3 linked regions of the Arabidopsis thaliana genome follow. The protein of the gene in region 3 purifies or fractionates together with the protein of the main gene of each other region. This does not show direct contact. Each region holds a gene or a part of one and is shown on either strand. Other genes may lie near its edges.

Region 1 (8,487 bases), on a different chromosome or scaffold from region 3:
TCACAAGAGATAATCTCAAGGAAGTGGAAAAGCGACTTCAGGTAGCGTTCATTGAGTTTTATCAGAAGCTTCGACATCTTAAAAACTACAGCTTCTTGAACGCTTCCGCTGTTTCCAAGATCATGAAGAAGTATGATAAGGTACTTAATTTCTGTTGATAATTTTGACAAGCTTTTACAGCATTTACTCTAGTTTAATATATATGCTCTACTCTTTAGATAGCCAAAAGAAATGCTGCGAAACTGTATATGGAGATGGTCGATAAATCTTTCCTCAGTAGCTCCGAAGAAGTAAGTATCCTTCTTCTATCTAGGAAAATCGAAACATGAAACTTTAGTTTGAAGCTTTAAACATGTGCAGGTTCATAAGTTGTTGCTAAAGGTTGAATCTATTTTCATTGAACATTTCTCCAATTCAAATCGGAGGGAAGGGATGAGCCATTTAAGACCAAAAATAAATAAAGAACGTCATCTTATAACGTTTTCCACCGGTATATATATCAACACTACAATAACCAATCTTTTGACATGTATTTTCAAGAGTAATTCATCATTTTGTTCTGTTTTTTGTTTTGTTTTAGGCTTCTTTTTCGGCTGTGGTATTTCTCTCATTGTAGCTCTGGGTTTGATCATCCATGCTCGTAATATCATGGGTACACCGGGACAAAGAACTTATATGGAAACAATGTTCCCTCTTTACAGGTCAGTAAAACGACCAAATATAAACCAAACACACTATCTCTGTCTCTGTGTAATATTCTTGAGATATATACATTTCATTTGCAGGTTTTTTGGGTTTGTAGTTTTGCACATGGACGTGTACGCTGCTAATATCTACTTCTGGAGGCGATACCGTGTGAATTACTCCTTCATCTTTGGATTCAAACAAGGCACTGAACTTGGTTATAGACATGTTCTACTTCTCAGCTTTGGTCTTGGTACACTTTCTTTATGTGCTGTCTTATTAAACCTTGACATGGAAATGGATGCTCAAACAAAAGATTACAGATTAGTCACCGAACTTATCCCCCTCTTTCTTCTCGTAGTAAGTTCCTTCTATCTCTCTCTATTTCTCAGTACATTTTACACAACTCAATCTTTGTTTTTAGTAAGACTCGTTTCTCTGCATATTGCAGTTAGTGATTATCATTGTTCTCTGCCCCTTTAACATTTTGTATCGGTCAAGCCGATTCTTCTTCCTCTCGGTTCTGTTCCGCTGCATTGCTGCACCATTTTACGCGGTACCAACAACATATCCTCCTCTCCATTCATCTGAAGCATAAACAGAAATGTTAAGAAGAATGTCTTCCATTTTTGCAGGTGCATCTTCCGGACTTTTTCTTGGGAGATCAACTAACAAGCCAGGTTCGAGAAAATCTATACTCGATAAGATAGCTTCATACTTATTTTGATCGATGATTTCTGATTTAAACAATCAATGCTAGGTTCAAGCACTGAGGAGTCTAGAGTTCTACATATGCTACTATGGTTTTGGAGATTTCAGATATAGACGACGAAACACCTGCACATCAAATATTGGATTCAGAACATTCTACTTCATCGTCGCCGTTATACCTTACTGGTTACGGTTTCTTCAGTGCATCCGAAGAATGGTGGAAGACAGAGATCTGAGTCATGGCTACAATGGCATCAAATACCTTTTGACCATCGTTGCTGCTTCTCTTAGAACAGCTTATACTCTAAACCGAGGAAGCAACTGGAATATCACAGCTTGGGTTTTCTCAGGAGTTGCAACGTTTTACGGAACTTACTGGGACATTGTTCTTGACTGGGGATTGCTTCAAAGAGGATGTAAGAATAGTTTCTTGAGAGACAAGCTTCTTGTTCCTCACAAAACCGTGTACTACGCTGCAATGGTGAGAGCAAACAGAAAACAGCAATAACCTCTGTTTTTGTTTTTTCTTTATACATATATGGTGAAGATTGTTGCTTCATGTACTTGGCAGGTCCTGAATGTTTTGTTGAGGTTAGTGTGGTTGCAAACAGTTTTGGATCTGAAATTCTCTTTCTTGCATAGAGAAACTATGGTCGCGCTTATGGCTTGCCTTGAGATCATACGCAGAGGTATCTGGAACTTCTTTAGGTAAGCTCCGAGACTGAGAAGATGGTGTTTTCATGCATGAATCTACACAAAACTAATGAAATGTAATTGTTGATTAGGCTGGAGAATGAGCATTTGAACAACGTTGGGAGATACAGGGCGTTCAAAACTGTCCCGTTACCGTTCAACTACGAAGAAGATGGAGATCATCATAACAATTAGCTTAACAAGAAAATACTTGGTTTCACAAAATTACCTAAACAACAACTAAACTTTTCACCGCTGTTCCGGTATACAACTGTAACGATCGAGCTTTGCCTCTCCGCTGTATTCTTCAGAGAGCCAACTCGAGGCTGGCTCACTCTCAGGGTCAGACCTAAGCGATGGTAGAATTATGGAGAAATCAAGTGGAAATCTCTTCGTTCCTTGGTAACAAGAGATACAAACACTTAACTAACTTGGTTACATACAACAAAAAGACATTACTTTGTACACTTACTTCAGATTTTGACAAGAAAGATAGAAACTCACGTCATTGTACAGTGTGTTTAGGTCTCAATATTGTATTGTTTTGTTGAAAGATAGGTCTCATATTGTTTTATTTAAAACAAAATTTCTGAATTTGCGTTTACATGAGAGAAAATTATAGATTTTTTTTTCAAATTAACTCTAGTAAAATAATGAACACAAATTAAATGTTATCAAATATGAAGAGTATCTTGACAATACCATTTACTTTACGATTTATGACAGACCAATATATGGGCTTCATTGGGGCTTCATTGGGGCTTCATTGAATTTCAAAGTCTGTTAAGGCCCAAACTGAGAGCGCGGTTGCACAAATTGTCGAAATTTCTCGAAACCGCTTTAATCTCGATATAAAGCTCGTCTGCTAAAAACCTTCGATTAGGGTTTTAGTCTGTAGAAACAAAGTTGCCGCTTCGATTCCAAGGAGTAACCTAGCTGAGAAAATGGGATTCTGGGGTTAGTTTTCTCTGCTCAGTGTTTTCTTTGATTTTCCCGGAGCATGATTCCTAGGTTCTGATTTTGTGTTGTTAACATATGCAGGACTTGAAGTGAAACCTGGGAAGCCTCAAGCTTATAATCCAAAAAATGAACAAGGAAAGATTCACGTGACCCAGGTACTATACTCTTGTTCCTTCGAGCTGATTTGGGATATGAATTGTATATTTGTGTAGTCTAGTTTTGGAATCTGAATATGTTTGATATATCTATTGATGTATGTATGTTTTGCCATCATTCAGGCAACTCTAGGTACGGGTTTGAGCAAAGAAAAGAGTGTGATTCAGTGTTCAATAGGAGACAAGGCTCCTATTGCTTTGTGTTCATTGTTGCCAAACAAAATCGAATGTTGCCCTCTGAATCTTGAGTTTGACGATGATGATGAGCCAGTGGAATTCACCGTGACTGGTGACAGAAGTATCCACTTGTCTGGATTCTTGGAGTATTATCAGGACGATGAAGATGATTATGAGCATGATGAAGATGATTCGTATCCTTTCATTGTTACTAGTTTACTTTAGCAAATAATGCTTTCTTGTTTTTCTATTATTCCATCTGTTTAGAAATCTTAATGTTTTCATTGCGACTATATTATAGAGATGGTATTGATGTTGGTGAGTCTGAGGAAGACGATTCGTGTGAATATGATAGTGAAGAGGATGAGCAATTGGATGAATTTGAAGACTTCCTTGATAGCAATCTTGAAAGGTATCGGAATGCTGCTGCCCCAAAGAGTGGAGGTACTTTTTCTTACAGAGATCCTTATCAGATTGCATCTTAGTACTTCCATTTTAGCTTAGTGTGATTGCTTGATTCGTCACTCTTGTCTTATAACTAGAAGGTTTCAAAAAGATATTGATAAAAGACTTTTCAAATGTATGTCCGTAAATTTAAGCTTTTGTACAAGTGTGTCTCCTTGGTGCTGATCCTGTTCTACATTTGTGTTAATAGTTTATATGATTGATCTTTCCTTGTTCTGTTAAAACTAATCTGAATGATATCTTTGCTAGTTATAATTGAGGAGATAGAAGATGAAGAGAAACCTGCCAAAGATAATAAGGCAAAACAAACCAAGAAGAAGAGTCAAGCTAGCGAAGGTGAGAATGCAAAGAAACAAATCGTTGCCATAGAGGGTGCCCATGTTCCAGTTTTGGAAAGCGAAGATGAAGACGAAGACGGTTTACCTATTCCTAAAGGAAAATCATCTGAAGTAGAGAATGCGTCAGGTGAGAAGATGGTTGTAGATAATGACGAACAAGGTAGTAACAAGAAACGGAAGGCCAAGGCTGCTGAGCAAGATGATGGACAAGAAAGGTACTACTCTCTTTGCTCTCTATTGACTCTGAGGACAGAGTTCACATATTTTATATATCGTGGGGATACGAAGTTGTTTCTAAAATCTGTTCCAGTGCAAACAAGAGTAAAAAGAAGAAAAATCAGAAAGAGAAGAAGAAAGGGGAAAATGTCTTAAATGAGGAAGCTGGACAAGTTCAGACGGGAAATGTTCTGAAGAAGCAGGATATTAGCCAAATTTCTTCAAACACAAAAGCTCAAGATGGAACTGCAAACAATGCCATGTGAGAACTCTTATTTCTTGATTTGAGAACTTTTTTGGTGATAACAGATTGTGTTTATGTCATTTGTGAAATATCAGTAAGTAAGTATTTGAATTATTACTCACATAGATCACAAAGTAAAAAACGCTTATGAGTATACAGCGGTTCTTTCAAACTTTTTCTCCTAACAAAAGTCTGTGCTTTTTTATGGTATTATTGCAGGAGTGAAAGCTCCAAGACCCCAGATAAATCTGCTGAGAAGAAAACTAAAAATAAGAAAAAGAAGAAACCAAGTGACGAAGCTGCAGAAATTTCTGGTACTGTTGAGAAGCAAACCCCAGCGGACTCCAAGTCTTCTCAAGTACGGACATACCCAAATGGGCTCATTGTTGAAGAGTTGAGCATGGGAAAACCCAACGGCAAGAGAGCTGATCCTGGAAAAACGGTATGCACACTTAAAGTCATAAATTGCACACATAATATCATATGGTTACTGCAATCTCATATAGATTATGCAACAAGGTGGTAGTGTGATAAGAATGTGGGTGTTGAAAGAATTGACACTAGATAGAAAGTGAGCAAAGTAATACCTTGTTAGACTTAGACCTAAGAGCACCAAAGAATATACATTAAATAGGAAGTGAACAAACTAATGGCTTGTAAAACCTACAAACACTCAAACCCTTAAGTTGTGGTTAACTCTGGCTAATTGTCTTTGTGAACTTGGTTTGAATCCAAAATCCTATTAGAGTGCATCAATGTATTTGTGTGTTTTCCCAAATCTTTTTGGAGCTCATTCTATTGTCTCTGAGTGCAGGTTTCTGTGCGCTATATTGGAAAACTTCAGAAGAATGGGAAGATTTTCGATTCCAACATTGGAAAATCACCATTTAAGTTTCGTCTAGGTTGGTATTATAACTAGATTCAAAGATAATAGCTTGGGAAATTGGTTGAGAATTACAGTGTATTGCTGGTGTAAGTGATACTTTATGTTCTTATTGTAACGTGTAGGTATTGGATCAGTCATTAAGGGATGGGATGTTGGAGTTAATGGTATATATCTTAATTTCTTACTGTTTTTTTACTTATAACTTTGTTCAAAAAGTGAATCGTGTTGTATTCATCTCAAGTTTTTGAATTCCACAGGCATGCGCGTTGGTGACAAAAGGAAGCTTACAATTCCTCCATCAATGGGGTAAGTAAACTCATTTTGATTTATGTTATTTTGAATTAGCAATGTTTTGTTAAACCTTTTTAATGGGATGATAATATTGTTTGGCTCCCAGGTATGGTGTGAAGGGTGCTGGTGGCCAGATTCCTCCTAATTCTTGGCTGACTTTTGATGTCGAACTGATTAATGTTCAATAAAACTGCCCTGAATTCATAGAATCTCTGATGAGGGGTTTCTGAATGGTGTTGTAGCTGCAAAAGATTGTTTCTTTCCTTTTTAACACTTGAATCTTTTTGAAAAATGGATTTGTGTTTCAAGTGATAAGACCATAGCATTTGTTTCCCAGATTTCCTCTTCCAGATAGCTTTTGTTGGCCTATTTTACACTTGCTTAAAAACCAAAAATTGGAATCATACAAATGCTGTTTACATAGTAGATGGACTTGAACCCAAAAAGGGGCCAATCAACTTTAAGCCAGATTTTATAGCAACGACAACCCCGACTCGTGAATCCGTTCAATTGAATAATGTAAATAATACCCCTTTTTTTTGGTGTAAATAAAGTGATTATAGTTTCTTCTTCATTAGTTAGTATTCAATGATTCATTTGTGGAAAGTCTCTCTCACTAGTCTCTAATCAAGGTCTCTCTACTCTCAGGTACAGTTACGTCACCATCATCACCGTGACGAATTTGTCATTTTTGTACCGTCAGAAAGACTTTGACCTATTTCTTGTTCTGCAAGTTCTTTTTTACTGTTATTTCTGACCTTTTGACCCGTTTTTATTTTTTTATTTTTGTAACATTGATGATCCACCATACGTCACCATTATTCTCCGTCGCAATGGCAATCTCTACGGCGGGCCTCTGGTTTCTGATATCTTAATGTTTTTAGAATTGGAATTTCTCATTTTTGATGTTCGGCTCCTAAGTATTTGATGGACTATGATTGTGAACTTTAGAGTTTGCAAATGTAATTATCAATTATGCCTCTGTTTACAAAACCTTATGTGATGTTCATCAACACAATTAAATCAAGCATATATATTTCAGACCAAGGACTTCAACAACAAGAAAAAAAAAAACAAGGAGTGATAGGCATGAACTAAGAGACTTCCCCAAACTAGAGTATTCAGTTTTTTTTTTGCAACACACTAAGCAACATAACATAATCATCCATCAACGCTTAAGTTGTTTTGAATAGCAGAATTCACCTTCTCAAGAATCTTTTGCCACTCTGTCTCTTCCCCTGTTTCACACATATACACTAATCCGTTACATAGTAAGTTTTTAATCATAAGACAAAAGAAAGATAAGTGTAATAAATTACCTTGATTACATGTTTCTCCATGAAGCTTCCTTCTAGCTTCTTTCAAGAACGAAACCACTTTTGGATTTATTCGATTATCCTTTGCTCTGAGACAAATATCTCCAACTTTCGCAGTAGTCACTTGGTTAATCCAAGGACCTTGTTTCCAGAAAAGTTTGAAATCACATCCACAAATTTCGTTCCCTTCCTCGTCTCGTTCATGCTTCGTCCTCTCCACCTATATACACAAAAACCGTATTACTCAAACCGGAGTTGAGATTTCAAACACTAAACCGGGATTAATTTCTAGAACTCACCGTAACGACGATAGCGTCGTAGAACTTGACTTCTTCGGTGACGGAAGGAAACGTGGCGCAGACCTGGGTGCCTTCATGGACCTTGGGACATTCGATGTCTTGCATCTGCTCGGAACAAGCTCGAAACCTCTCTTCGAATTCTTGAATCTCGTCGGAGTTTTTGAAATCGTCAGCTGGATAAAACTCGTCGTGCTCATAAGAGAAGCCGTTGAAGCTGATCCACAAAGCGTCACAGATGTCAGAAAATTCTACGGCGTACCAAGCTTCGTCCTCCGCTGAACGGAACTCTAGTTCCGGCCAGTTTTCATCGGACCAGTCGACGTCATCGGCGAACTCGCCGGAGAAAACCGTCGGACTAGTAGCCCCACTCTGATTAGAAGTTAGAGAGTTGTGCATCTTCTTTGGGTTTTGTTTAGAAGTGATAACGATTGAAGTGTAGTGAAGAAGCCATGCAAGCTCTCTTTATAGACCAAAAACTCTCTGTAAAAGTAATTTTCTCTGTTAGCTCTACCAGTCAAAACATACAAAAATTACAGTTTTGGCCCTTTTCTAATTAGATCATATTGATATTTTCATTAATTGAAACTTTAACTGGCGTATTAACTATACTTTTAGTATAACATACTGAAATGTGGAAGGAATTTGAAAAGTCATTTCACATTTTCTGTATAAATAAAAAAAGGTGAAAACTTCTCTTACTATATAAACTTTGATATTGAAAGTTACTAACCAAATAAAATGTTCAATGAGATTAACCATATTTACAAGTATAACATATTAACATATGGAAAGAATTTGAAAAGTCAATTTTCATATTATAAGAAAAAAAAAAACTTATCTTATCATATAAAATTTAGTTTTTAAAGTTACTAAACCACATGATTGTTAGACGTGTCAACAAAAATAATTATACATTTGGTATAATATATTTAATTGTGGGAAGAATTTAAAAAGTCTCATATTCTAGAGAAGTAAGAGGCTGAAAACTTAACTTACTATATAAATATTGGTTTTCAAAGTTGTTAGCTCGAGACGTGTTAAATAAAATATTA
Region 2 (6,031 bases), on a different chromosome or scaffold from region 3:
TCGGGGCTCCGGTTACGAATCCGGGTAAACGGGTCACCGATGAAAAATGAAGTTTTAGCGTCAACAAGCATAACGTGTTTGAAACTGCGTCGTACTCGACCAAGAAGCATTGGGTAACAAGCCCATCTCCTCAAGCTTAACGGAACTTGATCCATAAACCCGGATAAAGAGTTTTCAGGATCCAACTCAGTTACGTCGAAACCAACTATCGAGCCATGAGTCAGCTCGTTCGAGTTATAATTAGCTCGATGACGACTCTTCTTCCCCCAAATAACATGCTCAGATGATGATGATGATGATGTCATCGAATCATTCCGATGAACATGAACGAGCTTTAAGAACGAGTTGTTCTCTTGTTCGATCAACTCGGTGAATCTTGTAGTGGATGAAGGTGAATTGAAGAGTAAAACGACGTCGGATTTTGAAGTAACTCCGGAGCGGTGAAGCAACCGTATAAAGAGACGGAGATCGTTCTCCGTTGTAACGGAAGCGATATGAGCAATGATTAAATCGTGCATGCTCTTGGTTCCTCTTAGAAACAGAGTACCCATTCCTTGTAGAGCGAAACGACGAGAGATGATGTTGCGGTTGAGGAGAAATCGCCAGTGAGGAGAAGAAATGGCGGGAAAACGAGAGGAAGGTTCTTCGAATGTAGAGAGAGTGAAGAGGAAGAGAGTGAGGAAGAGGAGGATGATGCAGCTTGAGATTGTGGATTCAGCCTTGGAGAGGAGAAGACGAGAGGATAATTTGGAGCGGAAGGTAGTTTTTGCCGGAGAATAATAAGAAGAAGAGTCGTTGTTGTTGTGGTCGGGGAATAGGACTAAGAACAAACCCATTCCTCTTGTTGTGGATCTTTACATTTTGAAAATGTATAAAGAGCATAAATAATTTACAAATGTAGTTAGATCTGATTAATTAACACATTTGAGTTTTACAAAATGTAGATAGATTGTATATGATGTGTACTAATAGTCTAAAAACTGAATGTTTCTCCTAATGAAAATTTTGCAGAATGAGACATCAAAAGAGAAGAGAGACTAGTCAGTTTAAACGGTATAGCTTTAGAATTGATTATGGTTAGTTCTGGTTCTCTTTCTAAACTTACCAAATTGTTAGTTTTTTTTTGTAGAACAAATAATTGGTGAACATGTTACTTGTGTTATTGTTAACCCATATAAGAAAAAGGTTATAAATGAAGTTGATAGAAGCTTACCATCGACACACGAAAATCCACACATTTCCTTCAATCATTTTCTTTTGCAATTTGTTTTCCACGTGTCCAGCCATCTTATTTCTTTTATTTTCAATGTTACAGCCAATTGGTCTATTTTCAATGATAATATGATATAGCTCAAGCAGACATTGATATTGCGCCTATTTTCATATTTTGCATTAGTATCCGTTTAATCTATGTCAATTAAGTTTAGTGTAGTTATACAAACAAAAAGTCAGGGTGGCCGAGTGGTCTAAGGCGCCAGACTCAAGTTCTGGTCCTCGTAAGAGGGCGTGGGTTCAAATCCCACTTCTGACATTTTTATTTTGTTATTTTTCCCTTTAATACATGACCTGATGACCAATTTCAAATTTACTCTTAAATTTTCAAGGATGAAGTTCATTACGAAAGTTTAATCTATTAGAAGGCAGAACTGAAAATAGCAAATAGTGCAAAAATTTTATTCTTTGGAACATATTTGAATAATGTGATTATTTTCAGCTAATTATCGTCTTCTCTTTGTCATAAACACAAAACAATGTATTTATCAATTATGTCTAAGGAAACATAAATTGATGAACAAGCAGAGTTTCACTTTCTGTCTACAAATTTGAAATTACACTTCCACAAAATCATATTATCGATAACAAACTTTTAAAATCACATTGAAAATCTCAAATCACAATGAATGATTCTTCAATGTAACGTTGTGTTAGTTCCACGTTCGATAAAACAAACCAAAATATAAATACTAGAATTCAACTCAAAATGTATGTGTATTCTACCTTTTGTTTTTGCAAAACTCAACTTCTTAAAACTCATACTAGTTAGAAGACAAATCACAGTGAGAATCAGAGAAAAATAATAATTTTAAAGCCTCATGAATGTGTATGAATTTTAACAATCACAAACTAAGTAAAGAGTATCAGCTTCCTAATTAGATAGCAGTATCAGCTTTTTACTTCCTAGGCAAGCGATATCCACCAAAAACACAAGCATGCTTTTCCTCACAAGAGTCAAGATGCAATATCTCTGTTGGTCTCAACTCTTCCATTTGTAACTTCTCCACTTCCATCTGATACACAGTTTCTGCTGCAATTGTTGAGTCTATAGAATTCGCCTGAAACAAGTAACTTAGAGTTAACCAAACAATGCACACTAAAAAGAGAATGATTTTGATTTGAATCAATGGTCAAAAAAGTTTTGTTACAAACCTTTATAGAGATCATAAAGTGCCCTCCAGATTTGAGGAAATAAGAAGCATTGAGACTTAATATGTTAGCTTGCTCAGGGTGATTAACATCAGAGAATATGATATCAACCATTCCCACAAGCATTCTATATTTAGCAGGATGTCTAGCATCTTCAATGATTGGTATAACATTAGTTCTCTTCTCCGCCATGTTCATCAAAACTTTACCACAAATATCAGAATGCTCAACAGCGTAAACACATCCCTCCTACCAATCAGAAAAGCTAGATATAAGTAACATAGAGAGAAAACACTCACTCAATCTTAAAAGTTAGGGTTTAAGGTTTAGTGTTCACTTACTGGACCAACAATGTCAGAGACATGAGACACGGTGTATCCAGAAGAAGCACCAAGGTACAGAACTTTAACACCAGGTTTCTACAATTTCAAGAAACAAGTATTCATTAGTTTCGGTAACAGAAGAATAAAAGAGATTGTTACTTTAAGTTATGGGACTTACGATCCAAATGTTATCAACACCAGTGGTAATAGCATCAGCTAACTTAGATCTATGAGGGTTCCAAACTCTGTATTCAACAGTAGATCGGTCTTCGTTCTGAACAAAGATTCTCTTCTCATTGTAAATGATTTCACCAGGAACTAAGTTCTTGGTTACAAGAGCATCTGCTTTACTTTTGGCAACAAACACTCCTGCGTGCCTGTGTGGTGTCACTAACACTTTGCTTCCTCCCTTAATTCCACCGTCCGATTCACTTTTAACTCTTCCAGGCCCTCTTCCACGGCCACTTTCGCCGCCTCTTCCACTGCCTCTTACGGCACTTCCTTCACCGCCTCTGGCTAAACCTCTTCCACCTCTAACACCACCACCACGTCCTGAGCATAATCATACAGATAAAACCGAAATTAACTAATCAGAAGAGAGTATTATTAAATCTCCTATTAAACTTGGATTGAAGAAGTGAAGACTCAAAACAGTTTACGTAACAAGCAATTCAGGTAGATATATTGTGACAAAACGAATTTGGAGTTAACAACCCTCAACCCTATACTATAGGTCGAACAGAGAAATTAAACAAGTAGTAAAACAAAACGGCTGCTAGGGTTCTAACCTCTTTGGGGAGGTTTCATCTTTGCTATAGAGCGAGAGCGAAAGCAACAAAGAGAAGGTTGATGTTAATCGATGTTTGCAGCTTTCGTGTTTGGTTTTTTTATTTTTTAGTTTTTATCGAGCCCCTGCTAGGGTTTAAGAATGTTTATCTATTGGAATTTGGAGTTGGTATAGGAAAGCTGGAAAGGTTCCATTTATTTTTCCGATAAATATGGAAAAGTTTTTATTTATTACATTTAACAAATTCTGTTAAACAGTTTACTTCTTGTAGGAAGATTTCAGATCCTATCGAACTCTTTTTATCGAATCACCACCATCAGATTTCTTGTTATGCAAGGAATACATGATTTTGAAATACAAAAGGTCAGAATATTAGGAGCTTAAGGCCCAATAATTAATTCAGGTAATGGGCTTATTAGACATGAATTGTTTTCGTAAACTTAGTGCCATAAGGACTAGATTGTAAAATTTTGCATCTTATTGTTATAACTTTATATTGCAGATCAAGTAATCAGAGATGCCTTCTGACTTTAAAGTCCAAAACAATCATTAGTTTAAACAAAACAAGAAGAGGAAAAAAAATCACACGAAGTTGGACAAAAAACTCATAAAATTGATTTTTTTTTCATTAGTTAATAAACAATTAAGGCCTTGAATGATTGTAAATTCTAAAATGGTGTCTAGTTTGCATAAATAGATTTTTTTTTTTTGCTTTTCATTAATTAATAAAAAATTAAAAATTTAGATTTCTTAGCTTTTCAGGAAACTTTTTTATGCAAACTAGAAACCATTTTAGAATCTACTACCATTCAAGGCCTAAAACTAAAACCAAAAACTACTTAGAATCTACAAATAATCAAAGAAGGCCTAAAACTAAATGACTTTCTGATATATATATTTCACAGATTTGACATTTTGATCCTCATCAGAAATGGATCCGCTGTCTTCACTGATGAAAAACGAAGAGCCAAAAAACTGGGCGGATCTTCCGACGGATTTGATGTGTTTGATTCTGCTACGTCTTAGCGTGACTGAGATACTGGAGAACGCTCAGAAAGTGTGTAGATCGTGACGATATGTTTGTAAAGACCCATCCATATGGCGTAAAATCGACATGCGAATCTTGAGTTACAACAAACCAGTACTGGTGAACAATCCTGAGGCGATATGTCGTAACGCCGTTGATCGTAGCGAGGGTGGCTTGCTGGAGATCAACATTGGGGACTTCGGGAGTGATTCTCTCCTTACATACATCGCGGAGAGGTTCTCCTCTAATTCTAGTTTTGACTTTTGATTACTTTTCATGTAAGTCTTCAAGTGTCTGTTAAAAACAGATATCTCAAGATTATGATTTATAACTTTTTACACACCATTACTTGTAGGTCAAGTAATCTTAGAAGCCTTAGACTAATGTGCTCAGAAATAACAGACGATGGATTTGTTCAAGCAGTTGTGAAACTTCCAATGCTTGAAGAGCTTGAGGTTTCAGGAATATCATTGTCAGGAGAGTCTATGAAACTTGCAGGGCTGTCTTGTCCAAATCTGAAGACATTGATGCTAAACCGCCTCTTTTACTTAAGTTCGGATGATGATGATCATGATGCCATAGCAATTGCAGAAAGCATGCCTAAACTACGCCATCTCCAGCTTTGTGGGAACAAACTAACCAAAACAGGCTTAAACGCCATTCTTGACGGTTGTCCTCACCTGGAACACCTCGATTTACGCCAATGTATCAACCTTGTCGGGAATCTAGAGAAGCGTTGTTTTGAGAAAATTAAAGATTTGAGACGCCACAATGATTCTACCTCTGCTGATTACCCGTTTTCTTTTGAAACTTACTATTTTCATTGGTCACGCCAATTGGCAATACTTAAAAATGCGCTACCGATGGAAGAAGGCGCCTATAACTTTGATCCAATAGTGGAAGAAGCCGAATATTACTTGAAACTGTATTGAGACTTATGTCAATAACACTTAGTCGGTTTGTTTGTGTTTAAAATTTTATTAACCAAAAAAAAATGAGTTCCTTTCAGAGCTAAGTGATACTTTTACGCCTTTTCTTGAGCATAATCATGTTCAAAACAAACTACTTCAACAATCAATTCAGCATGCAGAAACAAGTAGGATTAAAATGGACAGTAGTTCTTATAGCCAAGCAAAAACAAGCATAGAAAAGACTGATGGAGATACAATCATTGGACGAAAATGTTGCATCAATATATATTAGTTCTAAAACGAGGATAAAATTTTCCAAATGAGACATAAAAGCATTATCCATCTCTAGCTTAATACAACAAGCAAGGAGATAAAAACAAAACCCAGTAAATAAGTCTTAATACACAGGCACTACTGTCCACAGTTCCTCTATGAGGCTGGGGTCTTTTGTTTCTTCGGCATGCGGTAACCACCAACAACACAGGCATGGTCACGCTCAAACGGCTCGAGAGTCACCTGTTCTGCTGGCTTAAACTGCTCTTGTTGCAGCTTCTTCACC
Region 3 (7,863 bases):
TGAAATTTACTTACTTTATGATCGAGGAGAAGCGAAATTCTGGACCAAGCTGGTCAAATCTGAGACTTGAACAGAGAAAGAAAATTAAACCCTAGTTTTAAGACAGGAGACAAGTCAAAGGAAGGTAAAGATCTGAAACTTGTTTAGAATTTAGACACAACACAAAGCTGACTCAAACTCAAAGAGACAACGAAAATAGGAATGAAATGAGGGATGATTTCAAAAACTCCACAAAGAGAGGCAAAAAGATAAAGGAAAAGGAAAAGAAATGGAGTCCAAGAAGATTTTAAAAATGAAACCTTTAAAGCATACACAAAAAAAGAAGAAAGAAAAATCAATTAGGGCTTTGGAGAAAAGGCAAGGTGATACATACACATATACAACAGAGTCGTAGACCAATAATAACTCTACTATTGTTTAAGAAGGAAGAAAGAGACCAACTTGGGTAAAAATGTCTCAAGGAGAAGAAGGATTCGTTGAACTGCTCTTCGAATTTTACTTGAAAAAGAACTCTCTTTAGTTTTCTGCGAATCAGACAAGAAAAAGGAATAAATAGAAACAGACGAAGATCTGTTGGCTCTTTGTTATTATTATTATTATGTGTAAGTAATTGTTTTTGGACGCAACACCAATACGGTCAAAAAGGCTCAAAGTTACTACTCTTCTTCAGCCCCCACCAACTTAAAAACCTCTGAGCACCATTTTGTACTCATTTCTTCTCTCTTTTCTCTATCACAATTTTCAATTTTAAAAATTTGTGGAGTACTATAAGTCTATAAAGTTTGGGGGAGATTTTAATGTGTAAGAGGTCCAATGGTGTTAAAGAAGTGGTTTTCTCAATGACATTAGAATATTAAAACTGATCTATAATTTTGTTGGTCAAAAACAATATATTACTTAGCATATGTAAAGAATATTTGGTATGTACCCACCTAATTTTGGAATTTATTATTAAAATAAACACTAAGAGTTTTTTTTAATATTAAAATAGGAATTGGAAAAACAAATAAAATAAGAAATATGGTATGTAATGAGAGTTTACTTCATCTATCCAATCAAAGAAGCTCCTTTATCAAGACTCTATTGTAAACCAAACAAGGAACAAAAGCTTAAGGAACTAATGATTTACGTCTGTCCTTTAGAATTAGCCATTTTATTTCTTTTATGACTTAAAGCTACATATATTATCTATTTATTCATTCATTCCCAGCATTATTGCTAACTACTATGTATTCTTGTAGACGATATACTAATTTTATTGACCTCATTAATTTGATTAAAATCTTGCCAGACAATAACCAAAGATAAACATGCATAGTCAACAAAGAGAAATACGATCATGAAAAAGATACTAACGCCTGTAAAAAATCTTTAAAATCAAAACAAAATCAAAGAGTATTTTATTTGGTGAATCTACAGACACGTTTAGTAGCAAAAAACTATTTGATTTTTTCAGAATATATTATTTTTCTTCAATTCTTTCCTCTTCCAGATATATATAAATCATGCAAGAAGAATATTGTACAACTACAAACTATAAATTGAAAAAAGAGTTCCAAAATTAATAATCTAGAGTCTGGAAGGCTAGAACAAAAATAAAGTTCGGGTGAAAAGGATTTAAATATGAATCCATCATTCAAAATGACGATTTCAGAAAATTTAAGTTTCATCTTAAAACACCTATTCCTCTAGATAAAATGCAATTCAACAAAAACAGTTATTAATCTTACACTCAAGAGATTTCTCAAAATCGGTTTCTCTCCCTCAGTCCTTACTCTTCTTTTTCTTCTCTTTCTTATCCTTCTTCTTGGCTGGTGTCTCCGTTGTTTCTTCTTCCTCATGCTTTCTCTTCTTCTTATTCTTCTTCTTCTCCTCCTTTGCAACCTCTACTACGGCTTCAGTTTCTGCTTCAGCTTTCTTCTTCTTCTTTTTCTCTGATGGCTCTTCCTCTTCGGGTTTCTCTTCTTCTACCTTCTTCTTCTTTTTCTTATCTTTCTTCTTTGATGGCTCCTCAGATTTAGCTGAGGTTTCCCCAAGAAGAGAATCTGCAGCAGTGTTGTAAGTCTGCACATAACAAAAAACAGTCAAGATCACTTCATCATAATCCCAAGAACAAAGACAATATGTACACACATCCAAAATTAGAAGAAAAGATGATGAATCAAAAACAGAGAGAATGATCGTGACCTTAGCAGGAGTGATAAGACCGCCTGATCCCATCTTTTTATCCTTGTTATAGACTTCAATCTTAGGTTTGCCTTTAGATGAACCAGACAGACGACCTAAATCTTTTCCTTCAAGATTTCTCAACCGCGCTTCAAGCTGTGAGTTTTTAACACATATCAGAAACATCATCAGTTAAGAAGGAGGAAAAAAGATTGTTCAGAGAGATACCAACAAGAGGAAAGCTATTGAAGAATTTTGTTACCTTAGCTCGGTTTTCAAGGCCCATAGTGTTATCTTGGCTATCACCAAGAGCATCAACCCTAATAGCAAGAACAGTTTTAGCAGCTAAAGACCGCGAGATCTTTCCCTTGTGCTTTGGTGCTGCTTGACCAACCAGAGATGCGTGAAAAATCAAACCGTACTTGGGTGTGGCGTGTTTTGTCTTAAGAGCTCTAAAGAGAGCTTTTTCGGCTCCGAGTATCTGAACCGTGCTCCCAGGTTGCTTGGAGAGGTTCAATAAACTACCTCCATGGGAAATAAGACGAGCACCAACAAGCTCTCCTACCAGGGCAGTCAGATTGGGAGCAATAGTGTTCATTCTGCTCTTTAGGTAATCGTAAAGCTGAGCTCTGTACTCAGAAAGAGAGAGAACCTGGTCACAGAGTTCACGGATGTGCAACAAGTCTAAGTCACTGACTTCTGTTCCCATGGATATCACAGCTGCGTCCTTAAGATCTGCCTCAATTTCATCTGCTAAGATCTACAATGAAACCAGAAACAGGAGAATATTAGGTCGTTAATCAAGGCGTTTGTTCATGGAAGCCTCTACACAGTTTACAAAATTGAAAGTTACCTCGGAGAAGTCTAGCTTAGCAGCATTAACTCGGTTTCCCATCAATTTAACAGATTTGGCATATAGGATATTGTCTGATATGATCTTAGCAAGCTCGGGAAAATGCCATCCATACCATTCTCTAACCCTCATGGCGTATGTGTTCAGCTCTTTGTCAAGATCATCAAGCAGACCAATAGCTTGGATAATCATGGTATCCACCTGACAAAAACTAAACAGTTAGGAGATGCAAGAGAAGCAAAAACAAACACAGGAAACGTTTAATGTCGGACAATCAAAGGCTAGTTCAATACAGAAGTTCCATAATTTAACACAAGTTAGCTTCGATCAATTAACAAATTCATATACTTCACATATCATATCACCAAATAAAAAGACCAATACAATTAGTCAGGAACCGAAGATACCTTGTCAGAACTAAACTTTAGCTTATATCTGGCGAGACTGTGAGACAGACCCAAGCTCATAGGAGCCAAGTCTTGATCACCCAACCCAGATATGAGTTCAGTAAACTGACTTCTAACACCACGTAGAAGCTCCATAACAGCATTGTTGTGAATGCAATCAATTTTCTGTATGAAATTAAGAACTTTCATTAGAAACAAAACACAGAGCAGACAGGAATATGGGTGTAATGATGGGAATTACAAACCAGTTTCTCCTTGATAACATTCCCAAGCTTTGAATCAGCCACAGCCAAGGTTTCACCTTGACAATTAGCTTTCAAAAACTTGCGCAGACCTTTGCTTGGAGCTCCCTCCAGCAATTTAGCCACAGCTTCGAGAGCTTCAGATGTATTGTCAAACTTCTCAAAAGCTTTTAGCTTAACCATCTGGTACACCAATAAAAACATATGAGAAACTCAACACTAAATCTAATTTTAGATGTTCTGAAACCACACTTGATGAAGAAGCAAAAAAATTACCTTTCGTGCTGAGTCTGGAGTGTCGAACTCTTTACACAAATCCTGCAAAAAAAAATAAAAAATAATCCATGAATACTTTTAGAGCCTTAAGGATAAGCAAAGAGAGTACAAAAGAATGAAGAGAACTCACCTCGACGTTAGCCATCTTTCCTTCATCTTTAACTTTAAAGAGGGCAAACCCCGCCGCTGTCTCGTATAGCACTAAGACCATCTTCACAAAACTCTTAAGCTGGACCTGAAGAGAAAATTAAGACAACACTTAACTCAGAACAGTAAAGATACGTGTCCGAGTCACACTAATTAAACTAAAAGTTCGTTTTGAGATTAAAAACTAGCGAGAAACAGCATTCCATATAAACCCTAATCCTACTTTTAGATCACATAAGAAATACAGGAGAAGAAAAAACAGAGAGATAAACTACAATAGCCTTAAAACTCTGTCCGAGTATGAGTATTCGAAACTCCACAATCTCCAGCAAGAATGGAAAAGTGAAACACCGTGAAGAGAGAAGATGAGAGATATTAAATACCTGAAGAGTTAATCAAAGCAGCTGCGTGAGAGAGAGGAAGAAGATGAAGACGGAGACGGACAATCACTTAGGGTTTTAAGAGTGTGTTGTTATAGCAGTTAAAGACGAGCCGAGCCTTCTTAAAACGCCGCGTATTGTAAGGGGTATTTCTATAACTTCCATAGTTAGGGTTTAGGTTTTAAGATTAATGGGCCTGACTGAATGGATATTTTAATCTGGCCCGTTTATAATATTAATACGTGGGCGTTTTATTGTTCTCTTCCCCCTTAATAGTTTTTCTTTTTTAATCCCTTTGTTTCTCTGTGGTATTCAACAAATTTGTCTCGAATTTATAGAGCTCGAAGCTTCAAGGTACGGTTTCAAATTTTCTCGTTGATTTTCTGGGTAGATAGCGTTTTCCATACTTCTCTTCAACTTTATTTCATAGTATAGCTCTGATTTTGCTAAAACTTCATCTGATTAGTTCCGTGGATCCTGAAAATCACGATTTTGCGTGTTGTTTAGGGTTATACTCTGTAGTTGTGTGATTAGTGTTTGAAGAAGCTGGGCTAGTGTTCGATGTTTACGTCGATAACCTAATTTTGCAGGAAGTTATAATGGCTAGTGAAGATGAATCGATTGAACAAAAAGCTGCTGCTCGTAAAGAGGCACTTAAAGCTCTAAGGGCAGCTCAGGAACTGTCTGAGACCAAGGAAGACGGAGAGGATGAAGCTGTCGAAGAAGAGTGAGTTTGCTTTGTTCTTTGCTTATTTTGTTTGTCTTGACTAGCACATGGAGTTGTTAATGTTGTGTGTTGGCTTTAGCATAACTAGGAGCTTCTCTTGTGCTTTGCTTCTCGCCTTTACTATCACTGTTTGTGAGAGAATCAATAATGGTGCTCTTGCAGCATCTGTTACCTAACAATTTTTTCCAATTTCAAGTTGCATTGTTGTGTATACTTTGCTTAGGTGGTTGGTTTTGTTGATTGATTATTCGAGGTAGATTCCCTTTTTATTCATATGAATTGTCTTTGATTTTACAGTGGTCCAGCCATGAAGTTTAGAAACTATGTTCCCCAAGCTAAGGAGCTTCAGGATGGTAAACTAGCGCCACCAGAGCTACCCAAATTCGAAGATCCGATCGTTGCACTTCCACCTGCTGTAGAGAAGAAAGAGGTGTGTGTGACAGTTTTTCTTTTCTCTGTACAAGGATCACCAAAAGCGACTCTGTTTAGCATTGTTGTTTCCTTTACTTGTGCCTCTTAAGCTTACAAAAAATGTTATCATTGTAGGACCCATTTGTTAACATCGCTCCAAAGAAGCCAAACTGGGACCTCCGAAGAGATGTGCAGAAGAAGCTTGATAAGCTCGAAAGGCGGACTCAAAAGGCAATGCATAAACTCATGGGTAAGTGGCAACTGTATCTACATACTGATATCTTCTATGTAAGCTTGATAATTAAGACATTAGTCTGTGGTTCGTGAGTAAGTGAGTAACATTTCACTGAATCTGTTGGTAGTATGATACCAAATCATAGAAGTCCAAAATAGAGTGATCTGTTGGTGTTTGTTTATTATGGAACTAACACATGCACTTTCATCATCTAATTGCAGAGGAGCAAGAGAAAGAACGTGAGATGGCTGAAGCTGATGGTAACACCATAGAAAGTTGAAACCCAACGACGTCATCAAAGAAAGCCACCACTGAACAGTATATTCTACTCGATTTTGTTTAACTGTTAAAGCATTCGAAGTGAGTAGACCATGTAAAATCCTACAGCCATTGGCATAGACATAGTAGGTTTATCTTCTTGTGTGAATCAAAGAAAGTCGCAATTTATTTCCGAGTAGAATTAAGTGCGGTCCGGTTTTTCTCTAAATTTGGTTCAACATCGGTGGTAATCTAGTTTGATCATTAATGGAACTGCGTTTTTTGGTTTGATTCGATTTACTGTGGTTTGATAAAGACATCCCAAACTAGAAACCAAAGTTTTGATTCGGGCTAGACGGGTTTAGTTTGGAGTCTGGGAAAACAACACAGAGAGCTTCTAAGACCTTTCTTCTCGGCATGTTGCTTCCACAGTGGGATGATGGAGTTTAGATACAATATTTGTTTATTAATACCGAACAATCAAAAATAGATACTAAGTTTTTTTGTTTTCCAAAGCTCAAACCTAATGTACAAATTCAGTAAAGCTTTCGACACCATCTCACCTAAATATCTTGGACCTTTATTGGTGCCCACTTCTCATGAATCCAAGCTCCAAAGAAGAGAAGCTAAGTAAACACTAGGCCAAGGTAAACCAAGATATATGCTTTTCGAAGGAACAAGCAATGAAAAGCTATAGACTTCCATGTGATTAAATGCACCAGCAGACAGATCCCAATCTGTAGAGCAATAAATGAATATGGTGATATTCAATTTCAAGGCTTCGATCAACATAACATTATTGTTCCTATCATTTGTTTCAAACCAAAAAGAGCAATCTACAAAGGCTTTGGTATCAGGAGTTGTGAAAAAGCTCACATGAAAAATCTACCAACTCAAGTATCTCTATTTTTCTTTCTGATGAAAATACCTAATATGAAATCACCTTCCCAAGTAAAAACTGTCAAGTAGATGGAGCCGCTCAATAAATTTTATCTTGACAACACACCAACATAATGCATTACCACAAGTTTTCACCTTTTTCTAATATTTTACCTCAAAAGTTATCTAGCTATAGCCACTCTGTAGTTGAGAATCAGATCCTCAGGTTTCTTCCATACATATGCCCGTACAGTTGCTAAACTCATATCTGGAGATAAGACCTGAAATAATCACAGAGAAACAGCTCGTTCAGCCTCATACTGCAAACAGTTAATTGAAACCAGAAACAGGGCAATAGTTGGATCTCTTGAAGTCTGACTTGCCTGGCTATTACATAAGATCTCAATGGAAGGTCTAAGTTTCTGCCAAGGCTTTAATCCAGACTGTAACAATCCATTTCCTGAAAACAGTGGCTGAGGTTGTCCTCCTGAAACACTTGCTGCATCAATAGCTAGACTATCCAACGGATTGTCAAGGACCATCTTTTCCACAACGTAATTGGTAACCTACATAGACATTTAAGAAGCCATTGAATAACAGAGAGTGCAAGCAAAACTACAACTTAAAATTACAGATAAATGCACCTTGTGAACTCTTAAGATCCGGGGTGCACTAAGTTTCCCTAGTGTAACCACCTGCACCGATGAACCTTCACATGGATGCAGGAAGAAGCTTAATCTGTAAATTTGAAGAGCTTTCAAAGTCAGACATTTTATGAAAGAAGTTTTATCTATTTATAAAAAAATGTAAAAACATATGTGATGAAATTGCTAAAAGTCCAAACTATTTTTTTTTTTAGAGAACAAGGTACTGCCGAATACT

What was found.
Region 1: the proteins of AT3G05060 (region 3) and FKBP53 fractionate together in Arabidopsis thaliana (co-fractionation; one large-scale study listed by BioGRID). This does not show direct contact.
Region 2: the proteins of AT3G05060 (region 3) and AT5G52490 fractionate together in Arabidopsis thaliana (co-fractionation; one large-scale study listed by BioGRID). This does not show direct contact.

What each region holds. Positions count from the first base shown.
Region 1 is NC_003075.7:12,957,178-12,965,664, reverse strand, and holds FKBP53 (FK506 BINDING PROTEIN 53), read left to right. Parts: upstream 1-2,893; 5' UTR 2,894-3,032; coding exon 3,033-3,045; intron 3,046-3,129; coding exon 3,130-3,203; intron 3,204-3,326; coding exon 3,327-3,574; intron 3,575-3,681; coding exon 3,682-3,824; intron 3,825-4,094; coding exon 4,095-4,398; intron 4,399-4,493; coding exon 4,494-4,661; intron 4,662-4,862; coding exon 4,863-5,085; intron 5,086-5,457; coding exon 5,458-5,545; intron 5,546-5,651; coding exon 5,652-5,693; intron 5,694-5,770; coding exon of another isoform or gene 5,771-5,786; coding exon 5,787-5,835; intron 5,836-5,926; coding exon 5,927-6,008; 3' UTR 6,009-6,316; downstream 6,317-8,487. Other genes in the region: SHB1 (EXS (ERD1/XPR1/SYG1) family protein), read left to right, coding at 1-140, 219-290, 361-490, 581-701, 786-1,044, 1,136-1,240, 1,320-1,364, 1,445-1,876 and 2 more; AT4G25330 (SAWADEE protein), read right to left, coding at 6,982-7,058, 7,140-7,356, 7,436-7,831. UniProt on the Arabidopsis thaliana protein: PPIases accelerate the folding of proteins. It catalyzes the cis-trans isomerization of proline imidic peptide bonds in oligopeptides. Histone chaperone possibly involved in H3/H4 deposition to the nucleosome.
Region 2 is NC_003076.8:21,296,380-21,302,410, reverse strand, and holds AT5G52490 (Fibrillarin family protein), read right to left. Parts: upstream 3,555-6,031; coding exon 3,536-3,554; intron 3,300-3,535; coding exon 2,926-3,299; intron 2,844-2,925; coding exon 2,766-2,843; intron 2,674-2,765; coding exon 2,428-2,673; intron 2,334-2,427; coding exon 2,172-2,333; downstream 1-2,171. Other genes in the region: AT5G52500 (uncharacterized protein), read right to left, coding at 1-836; AT5G52480 (RNI-like superfamily protein), read left to right, coding at 4,649-4,797, 4,917-5,493; FIB1 (fibrillarin 1), read right to left, coding at 5,902-6,031. UniProt on the Arabidopsis thaliana protein: S-adenosyl-L-methionine-dependent methyltransferase that has the ability to methylate both RNAs and proteins. Involved in pre-rRNA processing.
Region 3 is NC_003074.8:1,411,410-1,419,272, forward strand, and holds AT3G05060 (NOP56-like pre RNA processing ribonucleoprotein), read right to left. Parts: upstream 4,648-7,863; 5' UTR 4,475-4,647; intron 4,180-4,474; 5' UTR 4,156-4,179; coding exon 4,075-4,155; intron 3,987-4,074; coding exon 3,945-3,986; intron 3,852-3,944; coding exon 3,672-3,851; intron 3,592-3,671; coding exon 3,427-3,591; intron 3,221-3,426; coding exon 3,020-3,220; intron 2,927-3,019; coding exon 2,429-2,926; intron 2,323-2,428; coding exon 2,188-2,322; intron 2,065-2,187; coding exon 1,765-2,064; 3' UTR 1,458-1,764; downstream 1-1,457. Other genes in the region: AT3G05070 (Cwf18 pre-mRNA splicing factor), read left to right, coding at 5,071-5,198, 5,496-5,628, 5,745-5,859, 6,066-6,124; AT3G05080 (uncharacterized protein), read left to right, coding at 6,629-6,736; LRS1 (Transducin/WD40 repeat-like superfamily protein), read right to left, coding at 7,164-7,262, 7,365-7,547, 7,626-7,719, 7,863-7,863. UniProt on the Arabidopsis thaliana protein: Required for 60S ribosomal subunit biogenesis.